Saccharomyces cerevisiae S288C: one gene and its partner. Changing the gene in region 1 together with any one later gene gives a genetic interaction. Each region holds a gene or a part of one and is shown on either strand. Other genes may lie near its edges.

Region 1 (9,981 bases):
GATAGTTTTTTTTTTAATGTTCTTCTCTCTCTTCTTCCTGTTTTTTCATGGCAATAATTTTGACTAGTTTTTCTTTTTTTTTTTTTTTTTTCATTCTTTTTCATTATTACTTAAGTTCTGTAAAGATATATGGAAGAGAAAATAAAAAGAATAAAACCAAAGATAGTGGTACAACTGACGTTATCTGTTTCAGACATAAATGAAAAACTTCTAGCCTGACAGCCCAGATCACTTTACAGGATTTTTAATAGTAAATATAATAGTAAAGAACCTAATATCCAATAATGTACATTCTTAGTAACTAGCCAACCGCAGTACCCGATGACTGCGTCACCAATTTGTCCAATCAGGCCAGAGCTCCATGATAAAGGATACTTTTCGATATGTAAGGATAACGGCACTGGCGTCCCTGTAGACCTTGGTAATCTTACGGTAAGATTAACGGGTTGATGATCGCTAAATAATAGAGCATTGGACCTAGGGACGGAATGGTAAGTACCTTCTTGTGCGAAAGTTGGCACTGCATAGCTTTTGTAGAGAATCCTATCGCACCACGACGGGATTCTTTTTGTATTATATGTTTCCTTTTCAAACAACTTGAATTTGTATGTCGGTGGAAATGTTATCTTCAGCTCCTGAAAACCTTTGCATAACGGTTCATCCTCTCCTTTACGTAGCAGATTTAGTTCTTCATGATTTTCTAATAGACGCCTTAACGTTGTGGTGGACGAATAATTGGTAGTTGGATCATAAGTACTAGTAACCCTAAAATTCAAATCGCCTAGAAAGAAAAAGTGGTCGCTTTTTGCAACCTCAGAATCACACACTTCACTCATTATTCGTTTGTAATCATCTATTCTTTGATTTCTATTGTTGACACCTTCATTTGCATTTAAATGAGCACAAATATAGCTAAATCTTTCCCAGTTCTCCTCGCCATTGCGTGTCATCTGAAAACTTATCAAAGTTCCACCTTTCAAGTGTGTACCAAACCAACCGCATTTCCCATTCCGTTTCAAAATATCATCTTTTACCTTTAGCGCATTATTATTGTATAATACTATTATGGTAATCGCCCCAAGACTATTCACCCCTAAACATGAATACTGCTCATCCCCTTGTGTAGCTGACACTTTTTCATTCAGACAATTAACCGCAGTAGTTGTAATTCTATCGATTAAATCACGATTAACAGCAGGGAAGGAGCCTTGCCATATGGGGACTACTTCTTGGAACCCCAACACATATAGATCTTGCAATTCCAATTGGGAGATGCCGTCATCGTAGGGGAAAAGCAATTGCTTAACGATTGCTTTCGAATTTTCAACGGGAAATTCCTTACCACAATTGAATGTAGTTACAGATACCTTCCAATTCGTTTTGTTCATTCGGTCAGAATCCTGCTGTATTTTCTTGTCTCACTTTTCTTCTTTGTTAGCCTACTCTTACCTCTTCAGTTTTGTTCTTTTCACTGTATTTTCCTTTTTTCACGCTATAACAACAATAAAAAAAGGTTATCATTTAACTGGTATGTACATACACATACACACATATATATATGTACTCATATATTTATGTCTATCAATAAAGTAAAATATATGTTATTTAGGCGTTTCTTGACTGAATGACATCGCATGATGTAGACACCACCAAGTCATGTAACTCGCGTGGGCCACTTGACGCTATAACTCCCTTCGTAGCTAGCGTTCTACCGTTACCGAAGTCTAGAGGAACATCTTCCATGGCATCTGTATGGATACCTCCAGCTTCATGGACAATAACGTTGCCTGCAGCATGGTCCCAGATCTTTTCTTGGTAAGAAAGTTTGATAGGCAGACGTAAATATACGTCTGCTAAGCCCAATGCTAACAAACAGTACTTGGCTTGAGAATCCAAGTGCAAAGATTTGGATATATTTAGTTTGTTTTTGATAGCAGTTTGTTCATCATGAGAGGAGTGTCCCTTTTCAACTCCCTCTAAAGTAATCATGTCTTTAGTGTCTTTTAAGTGTCTAACGTGGATTTTGGTCCATGACTCTGCATCTGAAGATGGAGAATAGAAGGCACCTAAACCTCTAACAGCACGAAAGATATAACCAAATGACTCATGGCCTTTCAAATCTTGGGCCCCATAAGAACTTAAAACTAAGTTGGGGCATCCAATACAACCAAGCTGAACAACACCGTCCACAATTAAGGCCAGACATACTGCAAACTGTTCACCTCTTAAAAACCCCTTGGTTCCGTCAATAGGATCCAAACACCAAAATCTTCCTTTTCTACCACCTTCGTAATTGCCGAAATCGATGATTTGCCTGACGTCCTCCAAAGATTTTAGCGGAAACTGATCGTTTGTAAACAGAAAATCATCCTTTTTATAATTCTTGTTATAAACTTCGTCATTGGCTTTTATTTCGTTTAAAATTCCTGAGACGAATGCGTCGCTCAATCCTGATGAGGATTCTTCACCAACTACCTTATCATCAGGAAAATTGCTCTTGATAGCATTTATGATGATCGTTTGTGCAGCATAATCACCTGTGGTTACTGGAGAATTATCATTCTTGGTAATAGTAGTGGAGTCCTTGTGAGAAATCACTTCAGATTGAATTCTCTTAGTCAATAAAGACGCCTTTCGTACAGCTTGAGTTGCAACCAATAATTCTCTTTCCAATGCCATAGTAAAGTGCTGATGTCTTCTGAGTTGTCTTTAAACTTCTTACTTACTAACTAATAAATTAAAGAGAAGTGCAAACGTTCTTTATATGTGGCATGGTTTCTTCTTTGCAAACTGAAAGTAAAATCGCAACACGTGATATTGCTCGTCTGAGTCATTCGCGCATTTCAATGAAGGAAGGATTATTATATAGATGGCTATGTAAATGTCAAAATATGCTATTGTTGAGTTGTTCCATGCTCAGTTGTGATCTTGAATGCCCTCAAGGAGCCTCTTGATGCTACGTATAAGGTAGCATATCCCTTACGTTTTAACTCTTCACTGTCAGATGCATAAGTGTAATCTAGTCCGCAAATATCACCCATGGGGAAATAGACGTCGCACACGCCGCAGTATGTGTCCGAGCTCTCTCCATCTGCACCATACATTGGTGCGTCAAACAAGTTCCTGTTACATCTGCACTCTGGACTAGGGTTAACAGGGTCTTGGACTTCCCATCCAAGAATATACTCTTGTCTAAACGAATAGATGCCTCTGTACTCTGTTAGTCTTAGTAATGAAATGAGACCCAATTGTGAAGCCACGGCTATGCAATTTAGTTCTTTGATGTGACACACAAAATTTATTCTGTTTAGTGCTTGGAGCAGCGACTTGGAAGCACACGTCACAACACCATCTAAGGGAAAAATCTCATGATGAGTTGCTGATATAATTATGAGTGGATTTGCTTTCATCAACACCAGCCTATGGGCTGTGGTTAGGAAGAAGAACTCGTCGTGCATTTCGGATAGTTGATACCCAAGAGGCGAATCTTCTGAGCCCGGTACTGCTGACTCTAATAACCGCTTGACGTTTCTTACATAGTTGTGGAACCCCCAAGATTTCTGCGATTCTGATTTCAAGTGAGCACGCTGTTCAGTATCCCTATATCTTCGCTGGAAACTTGTTAAGCTGCTACCAGATTCTTCATTTTCAGGGTCGCTATTGACATCGTCCTCTTCTGTAGAGTTCAGTTGAAGGCTACAAATTTCTGGGTCCTTCAAGACCGTGTTCAAATCCTTGCCAAAAAGTGTTCTCCAATCGGCAGCGGCATCGGTGTTGTACCATAAAAAGTTTCCCGATTCAATATTTGGTATATGATTTACTGAACTTAGCGATTTGAACTCTTTTGAAGTTCGTAGTTGTCTTTGTTTATCCATTTTCAAATTACGAATACTTCTATTAAATTCGCGAGATATATCTTCAATATCATTTTCGAGATCAGTAAGTTTATAAGTAGACGGCTCACAGATCTTTCTCCCAGAAGTGTTTTGATATTGCGATGTTTTATTTCTTCCACTAGGAGTTATCAACTGTGGAAAAGTATTAATAATATCCTTGTATTTCGAAAATCCACGCTCAGTAGCACGATAATGTTTATAACCAGAATCCTCCCAAAATGTCCATTGGTGTAAATGCTGTTCACATGAGGTGTTTTTTGTCACTGCATCATTCATATCGTCTAAGTCACCGGCATGTAAAATAAGTGCAAAATCCTCTCTGCTGTACTCGTATTTTATCGAGCCCGTTGTAGTGTAATTTCTATCAAATGAGGTAAATCTTAATGGTATAACTTCATCGGGGATCCCTGCTGAAGAAGTCAGTCGTAGGTCTGTGACAGGAACCTGAAATTGATTGAGTAATGTACCAATACCGAAATTCCCAGAGAGGTAGGCGTTATCACAGTAATACCCAAGTAAAAAATCATCTCGGCAAATAGAATATAACATGCTTTCTTTGAAACCGTCTTGGTAGTTAAGATTCAACAATTCGAAATTGTCAACTTTCGCAAAATCCTTCTTAGTCAGTGGAGTTATTGTCCATAAGTCGTCGCCAAAAAATTGAGTATCAAGGAAACTCGTTAAAATGGTACAATCATGCTCCTTTAATTTAACGGTAACAACATTCCCAAATATAGAACAATAACTTAATGTAATATATCCAACAGAATCTTTTGAATTAGGAACAAAGTTAACACAAGGAACATTGTGAGATGAGGGAAGATCTAGAGGCCGAATGTACCGTCTTTCCTTCTTTACATCTTTATCGAATGCAAAGACTGTAACTCCAGGCTTGTTATGGCCAACAGCGATATATATGATGCCATTTATATCTATTACATCAACACTCCAACAAGATTCCTCTACTCTTAACACCATATATGGATCAACATTTATGTATCTTTCCCGGCTGTTATCTTTGCCTCCCAAGATATCCGAAGTAAATTTATTAAATATCTTAATAACTTTGTTGATTTCCCAGATATAAACGATTCCGTTGTCACCGCAAGCTAGTAGAAAATCTTGATGCATGAAGTTACAAATCTTCATAAAGTTGATAGAACATAGTTCAGGTATGCTGTTGAACTGTGTATCCTTAAATTTCACATATGATGAATTGCGGAAGTTTCTTACATCTCCGTCATCTGGTATTATCACGGGCAATAAGGCGTGACATATTTCTAATGACGAAACGTTCAATAGTATATCGAAATTATGAACTTCGACGCATTGACCGGCAGCCAGGAAGGAATAACTCCCATAAGTGACGAACAAATTGTTCTTGAACTGCAAACCACCATAAGCAAACCTATTTGTGTATTGAAAAGGTGCGAACTCTAGTGGTATCTCTTGAACAAGTAGTTTTTCGTCCTGTGGCAATAGTAATTCAGCTGGATTCAAAAGCCTTGATGGTCCCCAGACGGGTTCTAAGTTGGAAAATGCAGATTTAGTATCCTCCAAGAAGGCTTTCTTGAATGAGTAAGCAGGATTTGGGATTTTCCATGAAGAGTCATGTTCTTCTAGGTTGTGTAATCGTTCTTTAATAAACTCCACGGTTTTTGGATGAAACGAATTGCAACTGGAGTTTGGCCACTTGAGTTGATAATATTTCTTTAACGTTATTATCTCATTCGTTATATTCCAGCCACCAGACGCCAGAAATACTTCTGAGTCAAAGCACTCTCTTGTCGATACTGCCCTTTGTATGATGGCCCGAGACTTAAGCCACCTTGTAAAGAGATCATCATTTTCATTGGGAATCTGAGGGGGCATTATATTCAAAACCAAATTTTCAAGCCTAGAAGTACCAGTGCCTCTTGATTGCGCTGTTGATCTTCATTACTATGGTGTTTTTGGTGTCTTGTATGGTTTTTCCATGTTTTTTCCCTGTTTTCTTTTCAATGAAAAACTAAATTGCATGTCTCTCATAATAGAAAATATTCAATATTAACAAAATGTGCATTCTAAAGGAAATTACTATAAAAAATACAGGCATGATAAAAATATATGTACACAAAAATTACGGGCTAGTACCTCACCTCGTAAGAACCGGCTTTCGATATATATTTAATCCATTTTACAGCACGATGCTTACTGTCTTTTCCAGAAATGGTAAAGTATCGTACGACTAAGCCAGAATTACTGAACATCATGACCTCGAATTCCAGGGATATTGGAGGTCTTGTCCATTGTTGAAGATTCAATTGAGTAGTATCACTTGTGGACACAGTAACTGCACTTAAAGTGTTTTCCGTCAACCCATTGTACTTGTTGAACCTCCAAATCATTGCATTTTCTTCTGGCACAAACTTACAGTGGCCATTAGAGACACTTATCTTACAATCCACAGTGCTTGGTGGAACGGGTATATGTAGTACCACATCTTTGGCGGAAAGTTTTCCAGGAAATAAAGACTTCAATGTTATCCTGTAATCAATCTCGTTATCTCTTGTAGAATGTGTAACAATAGGTGTAACCTTGAACGGCAGGTTTATGTTATCTCGTACATGATATTTCATCAACTCCATCGAACCGTCTGGTGGGACGAATTCAATGATATGATTTCTGTTAAATTTGTCAAGTGAGACACATTCGTGAAACTTGCAATCTTCCAACAAAACACTACCGGCAGCAGCTTTGGGAATGAAGTTCTTGTTTCCAAAATCGCTGCCAGAGTGACGCTGCTGCTGTGCTAACCATTTCTTCTCGTCTTCGGACTGCATTCCCAAAGAATCATTCAATCCAAATCTACAAATAGGGGTCCCACTCAAGTGTGTGGTGATATCTATGGTGCCATCAACGTATGATTTCAAGATAGAACCATCCCTAGATACCAGAATGTTTATCCTCTCATTGACATACAAGAAAACTTCATCCTTCTTGTGTATTATCCCCTTGGGCCTCCAAGTGATCTTATTGTTATCATAGAAATCAGAAGTGGAGTCTCCTTGACCCAGGAAACTACTGCTTCTTTTTGTCAAAAATTTGGGAAAATGTAGTTCTCCTGCTGAAGAAGTAGGAGATGAAGAGGAAGATAATACATCATTTCCATCGGGACTATCTAACAATCCGCCCATATTTCTAACGGGTTTCACAGACATCTGCGCTATAACAGAGTTCAATTCAGTGTCAATTGGTATCCCATTTCCACCCAACATTATATCCAGCATCTCATGCACAATCATGAATTCCTCTTTCAAGGCCTCCTCTCTATCCAATCGATAAGCATTCATCACTGCATCAAGCTTATATAAGAACTCCCAGATCGCCGCACTATTAGCGTTGCTTCTCGTAATGGTTACCAACCACAAATTGTCACCATGCCTCGACCTGATGTGATGGAAAGTAGTTGAGCCCAGTGTCAAAACAGGCGATCTAACATCTAGATTATTGATCACTTGTACTCGGAAGATATCGGATATGGACCGCTTCAACGAGTTCTTGAAGAACTTGTTCAAGACAAGTTCACCTCTCGATGAGTATACCAGCACACCACTAATCATTGCTCACCATAACTCTATGTGATTCTTTTCTCCAACCGTTTATGAAAGGTTTCCACACTTTATCATCAAGTTCTCCTATACTAATCAATTAAGGAAAATATGGCTGTTACCCTTCGACCGCAGTTGAAAAAAATTTTCTATCAAATAATAAATGGCTACGATTAGCGAGAAGGGCTGGATGAGATGAGAGTAAGTTGGTCGAAAGTGACTTTGTTGGAGGTTGCTACGAGGCTAGGAACGCAGTCTGGATGTCAATGAGTAATATTGTTGTTTTTGGAGGGGACTCGCACCCCGAGTTAGTTACTAAGATCTGTGAAAATTTGGACATTCACCCATCGAAAGTAGAATTAGGGAAGTTTTCTAATGGGGAAACGAACATTGCTCTTCGCGAATCTGTTCGTGAAAAGGATGTATATATCATCCAGAGTGGTTGTGGCCAGGTGAACGACACGTTCATGCAGTTGCTGATTTTAATCAGTGCCTGCAAGTCCGCTTCTGCCTCGAGGGTTACAGCCGTAATGCCATATCTCTGCTACTCGAGACAGCCAGATATTCCATATACTGCCAAGGGTGCTCCCATAATTTCCAAGCCTAAAGAAAACTATACTTTTGAATCGCATCCAGGCACACCCGTGTCATCTTCTTTAATGACGCAAAGACCAGGTGCTGAGAGCTCGTTGAAGAGTTTGGATAGTGCAATACGATCAACTATCAACTTAGAAAATCCTCAACCTATCAGAACACCAAACAGCAGTGCTACGGCGAATAACAATTTCGACATCAAGAAGACGCTTTCTTTTTCAAGAATTCCTATGATTCCCGGTGGTAAGTTACAAAATACAAGCAATAGCACGGACGCTGGTGAATTGTTCAACGCTCAAAATGCAGGCTATAAGCTATGGGTAGTACAAGCCGGTACTTTGATTGCTCATTTGTTGAGTGCTGCAGGTGCTGACCATGTGATCACAATGGATTTGCACGATCCACAGTTCCCTGGGTTTTTTGACATTCCAGTGGATAATCTCTACTGTAAACCCATTGCACAAAACTACATCCAGCATCGCATTCCAGATTATCAGGATGCTGTGATCGTTTCTCCAGATGCTGGTGGTGCAAAGAGAGCTACGGCTATTGCAGACGCCTTGGAATTGTCCTTCGCCCTAATTCATAAAGAAAGAAGATCTCAGTTATTGAAGGGCCCTCCAGATGCGACGTTAACCTCTGGTGGTTCGTTACCAGTATCTCCAAGGCCATTAGTTACTACTTTGGTTTCCTCCCAAAATACTACTTCTTCAGGTGCCACTGGGGTTGCGGCCCTTGAAATGAAGAAAACAACTTCAACATCTTCCACCTCGTCGCAATCTTCTAATTCGTCCAAGTTCGTTCAAACTACCATGCTTGTTGGCGATGTTAGAAACAAGGTGTGTATTATAGTCGACGACTTGGTGGATACTTCATACACTATTACAAGAGCTGCGAAATTGTTGAAGGATCAAGGATCTACCAAAGTTTATGCCTTAATAACGCACGGTGTTTTTTCCGGTGATGCGCTAGAAAGAATCGGCCAAAGTAGTATAGATAAGTTGATCATTTCTAACACGGTTCCTCAAGATAGAACACTACAGTACCTAGGTAAGGACAGAGTGGATGTTATTGATGTCTCCTGCATAATCGGTGAAGCAATTAGAAGAATCCATAACGGTGAATCCATTTCTATGTTGTTCGAGCATGGATGGTAGTGGCATTGATGTGTTCATTTTTTTATTGATAAAAATAGGGGAAAGTGTCTATATATTTTGCGTATAAAATTCTCTACATTTTTTTTTCTTTGTTTAGTATGTGTATTGAAACATTTTATTTATAGGTTAGAGAAACAAAAAAAAAAAAACTGCAATTTCTTCTTGTATGTCTGTAGAAAAAATTTTAAGCTGCTCTCCCCTGTGATTTCATGCGTCTGGGACTAATAAGAACGGTGATGATGGTTATTATGATGCATGGGCAATTCTTTTGGCATAATCTCTTCATCTTTTTATGGTCGACGAGGAGCCGTTGGCATCATAATTGGAAGTTCTTGACAAAGAGTCGGTGAAATTAGAACGATCATTGTTGTTAGCGTTTTCGTTCTTAAATTTATTCTTAATACTGGAAAATAAACTTGCATTTGAACTTGAACTTTCTCTATCGTCACTTCGATTAGAATTCTCTTGATTGATATTCTCGTTTCCATATTCACTTTTGGATTCGTCCCAATCTTTTGCGGGGCCAATGATGGTTTTTGGAACACCTTTGACTGTGATGACAGATTCCACAATACCATTCTTCGTATTTTGGTAAGAGGTTGAGATTGTAACGTTTTGATTTTCGTTGCCGTGATTCGCGCCAGAATTTGGAATTGATATACTATCAGGGCTATTTCTCGTGGTTTTAGTCGAGGTAGTAACTTGAGTTGGTTGACCCGACCGTTGAGTATGGAGAACAGCTTG
Region 2 (13,019 bases), on another chromosome or scaffold:
AGTGTTTTCCCGAGAAAGAAACCTTCTGAAATGATTTTTTGTTCCTTTTTAATCTATTGAAAAATGGCGGTACGGACAATAAAATCCGGGGGCGGGGTAAATTGCGCATGGCCGTGGAATGTCACTGCAAAGTGAACGAGAAGATTAGAACACGGAATAAGGAAAACTTCTGGGGAATTTATTTTTCAAGATTTGGTTCCAGGTTTTTCCCCAGAAATGAAAGTGCTAGATGATTGGTTTTCAAGGAAGTTCTCAAAAGCTGTACACGGAAACAATCACGGCACCATTTCCTTGTCAACTCTGTCTTATATCAGAGTCCATAAACTAGTAAAATGACTTCGTAGAATCGAACAATATCTCACCATAAAATTTTTTTCACAAACAAAAAAGACGCTCTATTATACAAAAAGCTGCTGCGGCCCTTCTTAATGACTAAATCTTGACAACTGAGCTCTTTCACACCTGTGCAAAATCCAATGGGAGCAATAAATGTAACATATTTTTTTAACATACCACGGTAGGGCAATGAATATAAATAGATATTGGACCGTATCCTTTTCTGATCATCTTGAAAACATTGTCTTGCCTCTCAACAGCTTTATCTATTCTTCACCTCTCTTCGTTTGACTATTTCAGCATGTATTTTTTCACACAATTTTTCTTCCAACTATTTTCCAATATTACTACGAGAATTCCGACCACGGAAAAAAACTTGCGCTGTTCCAATCAGTCCCATTCTATCCATCTACCTGCCAGTGGTTTCGTAATATCGACTCACACCAGTAACGACATAACTGTTTTTTCGTTCATGATTTAATAGCGAGCCCACCTTTAACGCATATCTGCTTCACCGCTGAAATAATATTTTACGAGCACGCTAACACAATGCTTGTGTTTTCTGTTGAAATCACAATACCGTTACTTGGAGTGACCATTTATGGTTTGTTGAATTCACAGTACTCTCGTCAGCTTTGTCACGTATTCAACTGTAACCTCTTTGAATCTCAACACTACGTTGTCTTCGCGTGTACTAAATGTATCGATTATATAATAGTATTTAAAAATCATTTAAAATTGCACCATGTACTGTATAATGATTTTCTCAAGACGATATTTCGAGTTTTGCCGATGGGTCTTATAATCTCTTTTGATAGAGATACCTACTTTTAACAATATCAAAATTACTGATATAGGTTAATTTTTGTTCACGAGTAAGTACTTCAGTGACACTCGTCAGTAAAGAACATTAGCGGAATCGTTATAATTTCATTCCTTACATCCGTTTAATTTCATTAATTCGATGCATCTTTCTTTGGCGAAGCCAGAAAATCTAGTTTCAGAAATCTCGGTTTCACCCGCAAAAAAGTTTAAATTTCACAGATCGCGCCACACCGATCACAAAACGGCTTCACCACAAGGGTGTGTGGCTGTGCGATAGACCTTTTTTTTCTTTTTCTGCTTTTTCGTCATCCCCACGTTGTGCCATTAATTTGTTAGTGGGCCCTTAAATGTCGAAATATTGCTAAAAATTGGCCCGAGTCATTGAAAGGCTTTAAGAATATACCGTACAAAGGAGTTTATGTAATCTTAATAAATTGCATATGACAATGCAGCACGTGGGAGACAAATAGTAATAATACTAATCTATCAATACTAGATGTCACAGCCACTTTGGATCCTTCTATTATGTAAATCATTAGATTAACTCAGTCAATAGCAGATTTTTTTTACAATGTCTACTGGGTGGACATCTCCAAACAATTCATGTCACTAAGCCCGGTTTTCGATATGAAGAAAATTATATATAAACCTGCTGAAGATGATCTTTACATTGAGGTTATTTTACATGAATTGTCATAGAATGAGTGACATAGATCAAAGGTGAGAATACTGGAGCGTATCTAATCGAATCAATATAAACAAAGATTAAGCAAAAATGGCTTTACATCAATTTGACTATATTTTTGCCATTGCCATGTTATTTGCATTTTTGGATGCCTTTAACATCGGGGCAAACGACGTGGCGAACTCATTCGCGTCGTCGATCTCTTCTAGATCTCTAAAATACTGGCAAGCCATGGTTTTGGCGGGTCTCTGTGAGTTCTTGGGTGCTGTCTTGGCAGGCGCAAGAGTTTCTGGTACTATCAAGAACAACATTATAGATTCCTCCATTTTTACCAACGACCCCGCTGTTTTAATGCTTACTATGACCAGTGCTTTGATTGGCTCGTCTTGTTGGTTAACATTTGCTACTGCAATCGGAATGCCAGTTTCTACTACACATTCCATTGTTGGTGGTACAATTGGCGCTGGGATTGCAGCCGGTGGAGCTAACGGTGTCGTTTGGGGTTGGAGTGGTGTTTCTCAAATTATTGCGTCATGGTTCATTGCTCCGATTTTGGCAGGCGCGATCGCAGCTATAGTTTTTTCAATTTCTAGGTTTTCTGTCCTTGAAGTTAAGTCTTTGGAAAGATCGATTAAGAATGCTTTACTGCTGGTTGGTGTTTTAGTATTCGCCACTTTCTCTATCTTAACAATGTTGATTGTCTGGAAGGGTTCTCCAAACCTACACTTGGACGATTTATCTGAAACTGAAACTGCCGTATCTATTGTTCTCACAGGTGCAATTGCTTCGATCGTTTACTTCATCTTTTTCTACCCATTCTACAGAAGAAAAGTTTTGGACCAAGATTGGACACTAAAGTTGATTGATATTTTCAGAGGTCCATCTTTTTACTTTAAGTCCACTGATGATATCCCACCAATGCCAGAAGGCCATCAATTAACAATCGATTATTACGAGGGCAGAAGAAATCTTGGAACAACTGTTTCTGTTGAAGACGAAGAAAATAAGGCAGCGAGTAATTCTAATGATTCCGTCAAAAACAAAGAAGACATCCAGGAAGTGGACCTGGTTAGAACTGAAACTGAACCAGAAACAAAGTTGTCAACGAAACAATATTGGTGGTCATTATTAAAGCAAGGACCTAAAAAATGGCCCTTATTGTTCTGGTTAGTAATCTCTCATGGTTGGACTCAAGACGTCATTCATGCTCAAGTTAATGATAGAGATATGTTATCTGGTGACCTGAAAGGAATGTACGAAAGATCTAAATTTTACGACAATAGAGTAGAATATATCTATTCGGTTCTCCAAGCCATTACTGCAGCCACTATGTCTTTTGCTCATGGAGCTAATGACGTTGCCAACGCTACTGGTCCTTTGTCTGCTGTGTATGTGATCTGGAAAACTAACACTATTGGGGCAAAGTCCGAAGTTCCCGTGTGGGTTCTGGCTTATGGTGGTGTTGCCTTAGTTATTGGTTGCTGGACTTATGGTTACAATATTATCAAAAATCTAGGTAATAAGATGATTTTGCAGTCGCCATCAAGAGGCTTTTCAATTGAACTAGCTGTTGCTATTACTACTGTCATGGCTACCCAATTAGGTATTCCTACCTCAACAACCCAGATCGCCGTTGGTGGTATTGTCGCTGTTGGTTTATGTAACAAGGATCTCAAATCAGTTAATTGGAGAATGGTAGCCTGGTGTTATTCTGGTTGGTTTTTAACTTTACCAATTGCTGGTTTGATTGCCGGTATCATAAATGGTATCATTTTGAATGCTCCTCGCTTTGGTGTGGAATACCAAATGACATAATCATAATGTGTTTCGGTTATGAATACAGTTTTACAACATTAGGTAGAACTTTTATTGCTCAGTGACTTTAAAGTTAAAACATTTCTAATTTAAAACCTTAAAGATGCATTAATTTTTTTCTAATTTATCAGTTGATCTGCAATTACCTGGCATGGCTATGTGTATTTTTTTTTTTTATGAATTCCATCATATTAAATAGAAAACTAAACTAAATAATAAATAGAGTATTACAGAGTCGTCAAAAAAAAAAAAGAAAAGAAAAAAGAAAATCTACAATCAAATAGCAGCAGTACCTGGACTAAATCTTTGCATAACGCAGAAGTATAGCTACAAAAATTACAGGGAGGATACTAACTAGTTCCCCTAAACCCGCATACTCTGGTGGAATATGAAAGTCAACAAAGGCACCAGCCGCCAAAAGGATAGCAAATAAGTTGTAAGTAAAACTCCATAAGAAATTCAATTTGACCCTAAACATGGCCTTTTGACTTACAGTTATCATAGTCAAAATATTGTTGAGCTTTGGCTTTAACATAACTACATCAGCAGCTAGCTTGGCAACCTCACTTCCCTCATTGATATGAACTCCAATCGTTGCTTGAGTCAAACCAATTGCGTCGTTTGTTCCGTCACCGCAAAAAACAACAACCGGTCTTTTTGACTGCGAAGAACTATCGCAATTTCTTCCTTCGACAATATCCTTAATATATTCACTCTTTTCTGCAGGCGTTGCGTGAGAACGAATATTGGAGCTTTCAATTCCAAGACGGGCTGCCATAGAACGAACGGCTCCATCGTCATCCCCTGATAAAATGTGTAGTGAAATCCCTCTTTGGCGTAACAAGTTAATAGTGGAGACAGCATCTGCCCGTAAAGAGTCCTCTAATGCATAAACTGCAGTGACTGAACCATTAACACTAAAACAGAATACAGAATATCCTTGTTCAAGGGCTTTTCGAACGTCAGGATCATTGTTATGACCAAGCCAACGACAGTTCCCTCCTTGTAACTTCAAACCAGAGTATGATGTTCCTTCTACCCGCTTACCAGTCACAGCTTTTGTATTAGAAACATTTTGAGCAGAAACACCTTTTTCTTTGAGATAGGATGCTATTGCCATGGAAACTGGGTGTTTTATTCCTTCAGTTAATCCAAGCAACAAAGATTGAGAATTATGACGATCACCCCTAACAGTTTCATGTACTACAGTAAGTTTTCCTTCAGTTAGGGTACCCGTTTTATCGAAGACAACATGCGAAGTGTTGTGAGCAACTTCTATACTCTCTGCTGATTTGAAGATTACCCCTCTTTTCGCAGCGACGCCACTTGCAATAACAAATACGATAGGAACGGCAAGTCCAATCACGCAGGGACACGAAACGATAAGTACCGTAATGGCATATATAATGGCCTGAATTACGGCATCGGAGCGGGATTGCTTTTCCACACGGATTCCAACCGCTATCCAAACGCAAAAGGTGACGACAGTGATTCCAATGATAGTTGGCACGAAATAACTTGCAATTTTATCAGCGATATTTTGGATCTTTGGCTTAGTTAATTTTGCTTCATCAACCATCGTGGCTATGGTACTAATAGTATTGTTCCCTGGAAGCTTGCTCAGCTTCACAAACAAAGTACCAGTGCCATTCACCGATCCTGCAACAACAATTGATTGACACTTTTTCGGGACTGGCATAGATTCACCTGTGATTAACGCTTCGTCGACTTCAGAAGACCCAGAAATGACTGTTCCATCAGTTGGGATTCTTGAATCAGGTAAAACCTTAAAAATATCGCCATATTGGAGAAGTCTAATATTAATTTCCGTCTCTTTACCAGTTTTATCCACCAGAATAGCAGAAGAGGCCTGTAAGGAACGTACTGATATTGACTTTACAGCCCTATGTCTAGCTAGTTCACTCACAAAGCGACCAACCATGATGAGAGTTACAAGCAAAGAGCTGGTTTCAAAAAACTGCTCCGTAGATAACGGGCGTCCAACAACGAAATATCCAAATGATACAATCGAAAATATGTAGGCAGCGCTAGTGCTTAAAACTATTAGTAGATCCATTTCAATGAGCCTGGAAAATATCAAACTCTTCAAGGCATTTAAGTAAAACGGTCCTGCAATAACAAATTGAATAATAGTTGCTAGCACCATTGACGCGGAGATAGTGGAAATTTTTTCACGAAGCTGTGGAGCCCAAGCCATCACGAGAATCGGGATCGTCAATATTATGGATAAAGCGGTCGTGCAGCCTACACGAACTAAATGCTTCCTTCCCACTTCAATGGTTGGATGACAACTGAATGGAGCAATACTAACAGGCACGCTCCATCCTTCATTGACAAGATCTCTGGCACCTATAACCTTTGGGTCAAAGTAAATACGAATGATATTTCTCTCAACAATTTTCAGCTCTGTGACACCTTGTGGCCATTCCTCATTAATAAAATCTTTTGCTGCATAAGGAACAACAACATCTATAGTTGAACCATGATTTGAAATCTGTTCGTACTTGAATTCAGTAGTTTTGCTCAAGTGCTTGATAACATCCTTGACAGATCCCTGAGCAAGATCCAGATTAAATTCAGCTTGCGATAATATTAAACTGGTCTTCAAACCGTGAACACATTTGAGCGCGCCAAATGATTTCTTAAGTTTTGATTCACAACCAGTACAGGACATTCCTGAAACACTAAGAACAATGTGCTCGGTACCGGTAGATCCTGCCTCAAGATTAAGATGATTTTCAATTGGTTCCATTGATACGATTCTTGAAATTTCACTCGAAGAGTGTCCAGAAATAGTTGAGGTAACAGCACAATCCTTCATTTTAGTGCAACAACTTTTAGAACAAACAAAATCAGCATGGCCATTGTCATTGCTCAACCTTTCTTTGTCTCCATGGGTCTTTTTCTTTGTTAAACATCCAGAACTGTTGCGGTAGGAGTATTTTGTCTTTTTAGAAGCACCCTCCCCGCTACAAAAACGCACCTTTGGGAGACAACAAGATTCTTTTCCCAAAGTACGCAAATAGTTACAGATACAACCTAAATTTTTCAAAATTGAGGAGTAACGATTGTACATTCTAGAGTACTGTTCGCTGAAGAACTTCTCGCTTAAACTGTCGGTAGAGCTACTCCCAGAAATTCCAACATTGGTGCTACCTTTAAAAGTCCTCTTTTCACAGCTACGAGATGCAATCCGCTCAACACATGAAATGTTGCAGCACTCAGGCTTACTGGAAACCTCAATTTTCTGTCTGCTAACTTTACAACTTCTTTTCTTGAGTGTAGAGTCACTTGATTCGATGCAAAGCCTACCCTTCCCTGTGTGTTGGTTGGAATTGGTATTGCAGCGAGTTGTCTCTCTAATATCATGAATAGATTGCAGACCTTCAGATTTGCTTGGAACAACTTCAAAGCTGGTCAGCAATTGTTCTTTAGAAGATACAGCTTCGCAGCTGCCTGTAACTTCCTCGACCATCACTGAAGAATCTCTAACGCAGCATCCATCAACACAGGATTCATTGGTGTGGTCACCACCTGTTTGAGCATCGCCGCAACAGCTGTCCACATCCAAGCCAGTCTCAGTGTCGTTCACTTTCTCAGCACAACATTCATCTACACGGGATTCATTGGTGTGATCACCACCGGTTTCAGCATCGTCTACATCTAACCCAGCCTTAGTCCTATTCTCGCCATGATGGCATATCTGCTCAGTCTCACTCAAACATTCCTGAGGAGTAATTTTGGGCCGATTGGTACAGTCTCGCTGGGAGACCAATCCCAGATTGTCATTAGCATGCATTTCTATGGATCTACGATGACACTCGCCTCTATTATCTTGCATAGCATCTATTGATATGTTCTCGCTATTTACCACTCCATACTCGCCATCGCTGGTACCTAAACCGGAGAAGAGTTTTTCCGGCTTCATCGTTATCAGCAGCTTTGGGCTCTTTCATTGTATAAATCCTGGAAGCATCTCGAAAATATCTTGCTTTTATATTTATAATTGCACCTTATTTATGCCAAGTGTAGGCTTTTCATGCGATTTTAAAGAAAAATTCCTTGTTGGCGCCTAAATTTTGATTACCTAACCCATACATTCGTTCAACCTTATATTTTTAGAAAGGCCTGTTATCAGATCATTTTCCGAAAACTCTTCAGAACCAATTTCAAAAAGACAACTATTTGACACTTTGTTGGTTTTCTTCAAAACAGTGATGGATTCATCCGCTCGAGGAGCTAAAATGGGGAATGAATTCCTTCCAAATAGAAATAGTACTTACTTCATTGTATTGTTGGAAAATATAAATCGATATTAACAATAAGAAAATTATTCCATTATTGATTTATGAGATTAAAATCACACAGCCTACATACAACTCAATAACGTTATCTGCCTTGCAAAACTGCCTCTGTATATATATCGATGATCTTCAAAATATACTATTTTAAGAAGTGTTTTAATTGAAGGATTAAAGTACAGGGTAACTTTTTAAAATTCATTGTATTGCTAAAATAGTATTTTTCTTTTCAGATTCATAACAAAACATAATTTCTTCCACATTAGGAGAGACAAGCCGTCCAAACTCTTTCCGCCTAAAAACCATGAAATAAATTCAAAAAAAATTAGGAAAATGTTGCTCTATCTAGCATAAGCTTAATACTTAAATGCATTTTTATTTTTATTTTTGTATTTTCAAAGGACATTTGTAGAAAATAGGCTCAAGCTCAAGTTAACTTCTAGACCATGTCTTTTCAGCGCCTTAAACTACTGAAAACGGCCCTTTTCGTGTACTAATGCTTTCAGGAAATTATAAAATTTATTTTTACTTTCGCCATTCAACATACTCAAAATAATAAATATTCCAGCTATTTGATGGTAATCTACATTAATAACACAATTATCTTTTCATGTATAACTAAAAACAGGGGGGGTAATTAAAGTACTTACTATCTACTACACTAAACGTCCCATTTAGAAAAATCGGGTATATCGATATGAAAAAACGGTAAATTTGTCCCAGTTGCAGCACATAATGTTTCATAGTTACTGTAAGATGTGCTTATACGGCTGTCTTCATCAGTATAATCCACATCATCCTTCAAAACTTTTGCAACGTGAAAACTAGAATGGCCAGCGATAATAGAGTCGTCACTATATTCCTCATTTGTAGTTCCGAATTTAACACTCAAAAGACTTCTTTTGATCCATGGAGATATAATTCCGGCAAAATGGAATTCGACTTGTCTATCCGCATACCTATTCACAGCTTTTCTCAGATCAACCAGGCTTTGAACAGCGGTTGAATCCACTTGAGCAACTTGGGAAAAATCCAGGCAGACGACTTTCAGTAGCGGCTTTTCATATGTTTCTCCGTTACTGCTTCCATTCGATATCGGTAGGTCACTATTCGTTGTTGCTGAATGACGTTTAAATTTAAATAGTGATTTCAAAGAATCTGGCATTTTCCATTCACCAGGATCATTCCATGGACGGTCTGACTTTTTCCTTAAGGTTATAAGTTGGCCTCGCCTTGTTTCTTCCTTAATACGATCAAATATAATGTCATAATGCCTTGAGCAGTTCACGTAAGTAAAGCTATCACCCAAACGATAGACTATGACACCTGGTGGAGGAGGCCGAACTGTGGTATTGATATTCAATTCTCTTGAGTATCCATGATCGAACGGAACCCACTTTACGCTAAACTTATACTCTGGGGCTGGTAAAACCTCAACAGTAGACTTAACCTGTTTATTCAGTTCATTAGGTAATTCATTAGATGATATCACAGCATCAATATCCTCTTGTACTGTTGGGTTCAATACTTCTGCCACCTCAACACGACCAAGGAATTTACCAGCAGGGAAAGCCTGTTTCAATAGTAACATTGCACATGACCAACACATTGCAAAATATATACCATTTTCAATGGATGAAAATACTGTGATGAACACTGTAACGATAAATGAGATACAATCTAACGGGTTGGTCTTCCAGAAGGTCCAGGTGGTTTTGTAAGAAGTCAGCAAATCAGAAACAGCATGAATAATAACCGCCGATAGTGTCGCTTTAGGAATGAAAAAGAAGGCGTCAGTTAAACAATAAAGTGCTAATAGAACGCAACCGCCAGTGAATACCCCAGAAAACGGAGTGCGCACGTTACATTTTGCTTTCAAAGCAGATCTGGAAAATGACCCAGTTGCTGGATATGAGTGAAAAAATGTCCCTATCAAATTTGTCACACCAATCGCAATAAGTTCTTGGTCAGGGACAACCTTGTAGTCGTTAATTCTACCAAAGGATTTTGAAATAGCGATGTGTTCTAACACCAGAACGATAATTGAAGCAGGTATTTCTGAACTCATATTAGATAGCAGACCGTCTGGGATTTTCATAACTCCCACCTCATTTAAGCCCGAGGGAACTGTACCCAGAATACTGATTGGACGGTCTTTTGAAGATTTGTTTCTTGTTATGCTCCACGATATGGCAGTAAAAACTACTATGACGACGGCATTTCTCATAGCTTGTGCATAGAAATAGAAGGATTTCAGTCTATTTGCTACCTTTGGTTGATTTCGATAATATCTATCTGCCAAAGTTATACCAAATGTACCACACCACCATTTCCATACATAGAGGATTACCAACGGAATCAAGCCAAAAACGGCGTCTAACTTTGTGTTTGGTAAATGTTTCAGAGTGTTAATTACAACCTTATACGTTGCTTCTCTGGTATTCACTAATGAGTTGTATCCCATGAGAGCCGGAATTTGACCCCAGATGATGTTAAATGCGGAACCGGTCATGAAGCCAGCAACAGCATTTAGAGAAATAAGTTCCACTAAAAAGCCTAAACGCAGTATACCCAACCCAGTGGCGACAATCCCACAAAGCAAACAAAGGGTAGTTGCAATGATAGGAGCTGTAACTTCTGTCTGGTCTTCGGGATATTTTTTTAGAACTTCAGCAATGACTTTGGCAGTTTGTAGTGACATTACAGCGACCGGACCAATACAAACATCTTTCGATGTGGCAAACAAAGAATATATAAACGCACCAATAAAGGAGGAATACAAACCATATTCAGGAGATAAACTAGCGATTTGTGCGTATGACATAGATTGGGGCACGAGTACGCAGCCAACTGTAATTCCTGCCACTAAATCAGCATAGCCCCACGTAAAGTTATAATGAGGAAACCATTTTATAATAGGAAAAAGAGATACGAGGTAACTTCCTGCCGATTTCGCAGTTAGATTGTTTTTGATAGAATGATCATAGTACTCCTTCAAAGTGACTGTGCTCTCTTCATACGCTGGAATGGAATCGTACAGGACATCTGATAGCTCATTTTTCGTTACCCCAAATTTCTGCTTACTACTATTAACCTTCCAATTTTCCTCATCACCATTGTGAAGTCCGTCTCTGTTTTCTGCCGCCTCAGATTCCCTATATGTGCGGTATTCTGATTCAAATACTTCGATATCAGCATCCTCCTGATTATGCACATATTCAGTCGAGCTCTTACGTGACATATTCTTTCCGAGTATTCTGCAGGGATTTATTTTTATTTTTAAAGCTATTGACCTGGTTTTGAGACGTTAATGTCAGCTAATATACTTTTATATAATCGGTTTCACAATTTTAAATCGAAAATTTTTCTACAATAGAAATATTAAGTTTGAGCAGTACAAGATCCATGTGCATTACAACACATTTTACTTCACTATTTATATTATTCTTTTGGTCTTTGTTTCTTTTTTTCACAGTGCATAATTTCAAATGACAGTGTTCGAGAAAAGACATGAACAGGTAGAAGTGTTCAAAATTATTATGGGTCTAATTTGACAACTTGTTCGTTATCGCTTGCTGCGTGGGGAAGGTGTGGAGTTTTTCTGGGATCTGTGACTCAAATTCCGATTTGCAAAATTGCAAAGCCGCACTGTGGTTCCAGCGAGACTATAAGAAAAAGTCAGATTTGGACAATTACACGAGATCTTTATTAAAAAAAGTGCACTCGAGGTGGCGGTAACACAAAAAAGTGGGGGGACTTTACAGCAAGTTTTCTGAAGCCTTTTTTCATTGGTTTGTGACTATTTTAGGTTATCACAGCCACATCTTATTCACAGATTATGAAAGTAGTATGTATTTAGTTAAAGTTTACAGAGGATAAAAAAACTATAGAGATAGTTGCATTCGCTCACAGTTCAGCACTGTCGGTCAATTAGAAACGTTGCAATTCCACGAAATACAAAAAAAGTTTAGTGTCAAGTAGAATATCTAGTTTCAATACTGTTAATGTATCAATTGAGTCGGTCAAGGGCATAGGTATATATTGTTTATCTTCTTGTTTTAGGTTTCGCCAGATTGTCTTTAAGGATGCAGAGTATCAGGGCCAATGAAGAGAGTAATGTAGACATTAGATGAGCCCTCTTTGTTGCCTCATCAAAACTCTTTATGACTGTGTTTTTAACTTCGCCATGTAAAGATCCAATATATGAGGAGTTTGCACTAAGCTGAACAATAAGTTTCTTTATCTTGTTTTCATCCAGTAGACCTTTCAAATTACTACGCAATAAACCTGCGAAAGATAATTGAATGACGCCAGCTGAAATTGCAACACCCCATACAGATCCAATACTACGGAATAAATATAAAGTTGATGTCGCAGTAGCTTGGTCACTCTTAGAGAACATAAATATGAAAGTAAACAAGGTCGTAGGAAAAGTGATACCTTGTCCTAGATTTGCAGGTATCAAAAATAGACCAATCAACCAGTTCGGAGAAGTTTTTTCAATAAACAGGAATAAAAAGTTACCCAAAAACATCAAAGAAATACCAATGTAGAGTAATAATCTTAGACAGTTGTACTTGCTCATGGAAAATCCTGTTATGAGACTGCCTACCGGAGTAAATAGGGAAGGAATCGTAAGACGTAATCCTGCTTTTGCAGTGGAATCTCCAAGTACAATCTGAAAGAATAATGGTAAAGTAAAAAGATACGCGTAGCTGGCAAAACCAACAAGTATACTTATCGAAAGTACAACGACACTGTAGGAGGAATTGACCAGCTCCATAGGAATAATCGCTCTAGCACTTGTTTTCCTTTCGTGCAATATGAACAGTAAGAGGATTATTACACTCCCAACTAATAGCAGTAGCACAGAAGGGCTGGTCCATGATAATTTAGAAGTAGAACACCCCAGGCTCAGGTAAAGAAGCTGTAGTGTGAGACCAGTTATAATAAGAATTGAGCCCATAACATCTATGTCCCTGAGTATTTTTCCGGGATTTTGGAATATGCTAGAATTTTGACGATTATATTCTTTC

The links.
Region 2: mutations in APM4 (region 1) and PCA1 together harm fitness more than expected from each alone (negative genetic interaction), as found in Saccharomyces cerevisiae (2 studies listed by BioGRID).

Annotation. Positions count from the first base shown.
Region 1 is NC_001147.6:204,498-214,478, forward strand, and holds APM4 (Apm4p), read right to left. Parts: upstream 7,499-9,981; coding exon 6,023-7,498; downstream 1-6,022. Other genes in the region: phosphoinositide 5-phosphatase INP54, read right to left, coding at 234-1,388; MET22 (3'(2'),5'-bisphosphate nucleotidase), read right to left, coding at 1,606-2,679; CRT10 (Crt10p), read right to left, coding at 2,895-5,768; ribose phosphate diphosphokinase subunit PRS5, read left to right, coding at 7,747-9,237; MAM3 (Mam3p), read right to left, coding at 9,520-9,981. UniProt on the Saccharomyces cerevisiae protein: Component of the adaptor complexes which link clathrin to receptors in coated vesicles. Clathrin-associated protein complexes are believed to interact with the cytoplasmic tails of membrane proteins, leading to their selection and concentration.
Region 2 is NC_001134.8:787,440-800,458, reverse strand, and holds PCA1 (cation-transporting P-type ATPase PCA1), read right to left. Parts: upstream 7,611-13,019; coding exon 3,960-7,610; downstream 1-3,959. Other genes in the region: TYC1 (Tyc1p), read left to right, coding at 217-336; PHO89 (Pho89p), read left to right, coding at 1,937-3,661; SUL1 (sulfate permease), read right to left, coding at 8,645-11,224; VBA2 (Vba2p), read right to left, coding at 12,029-13,019.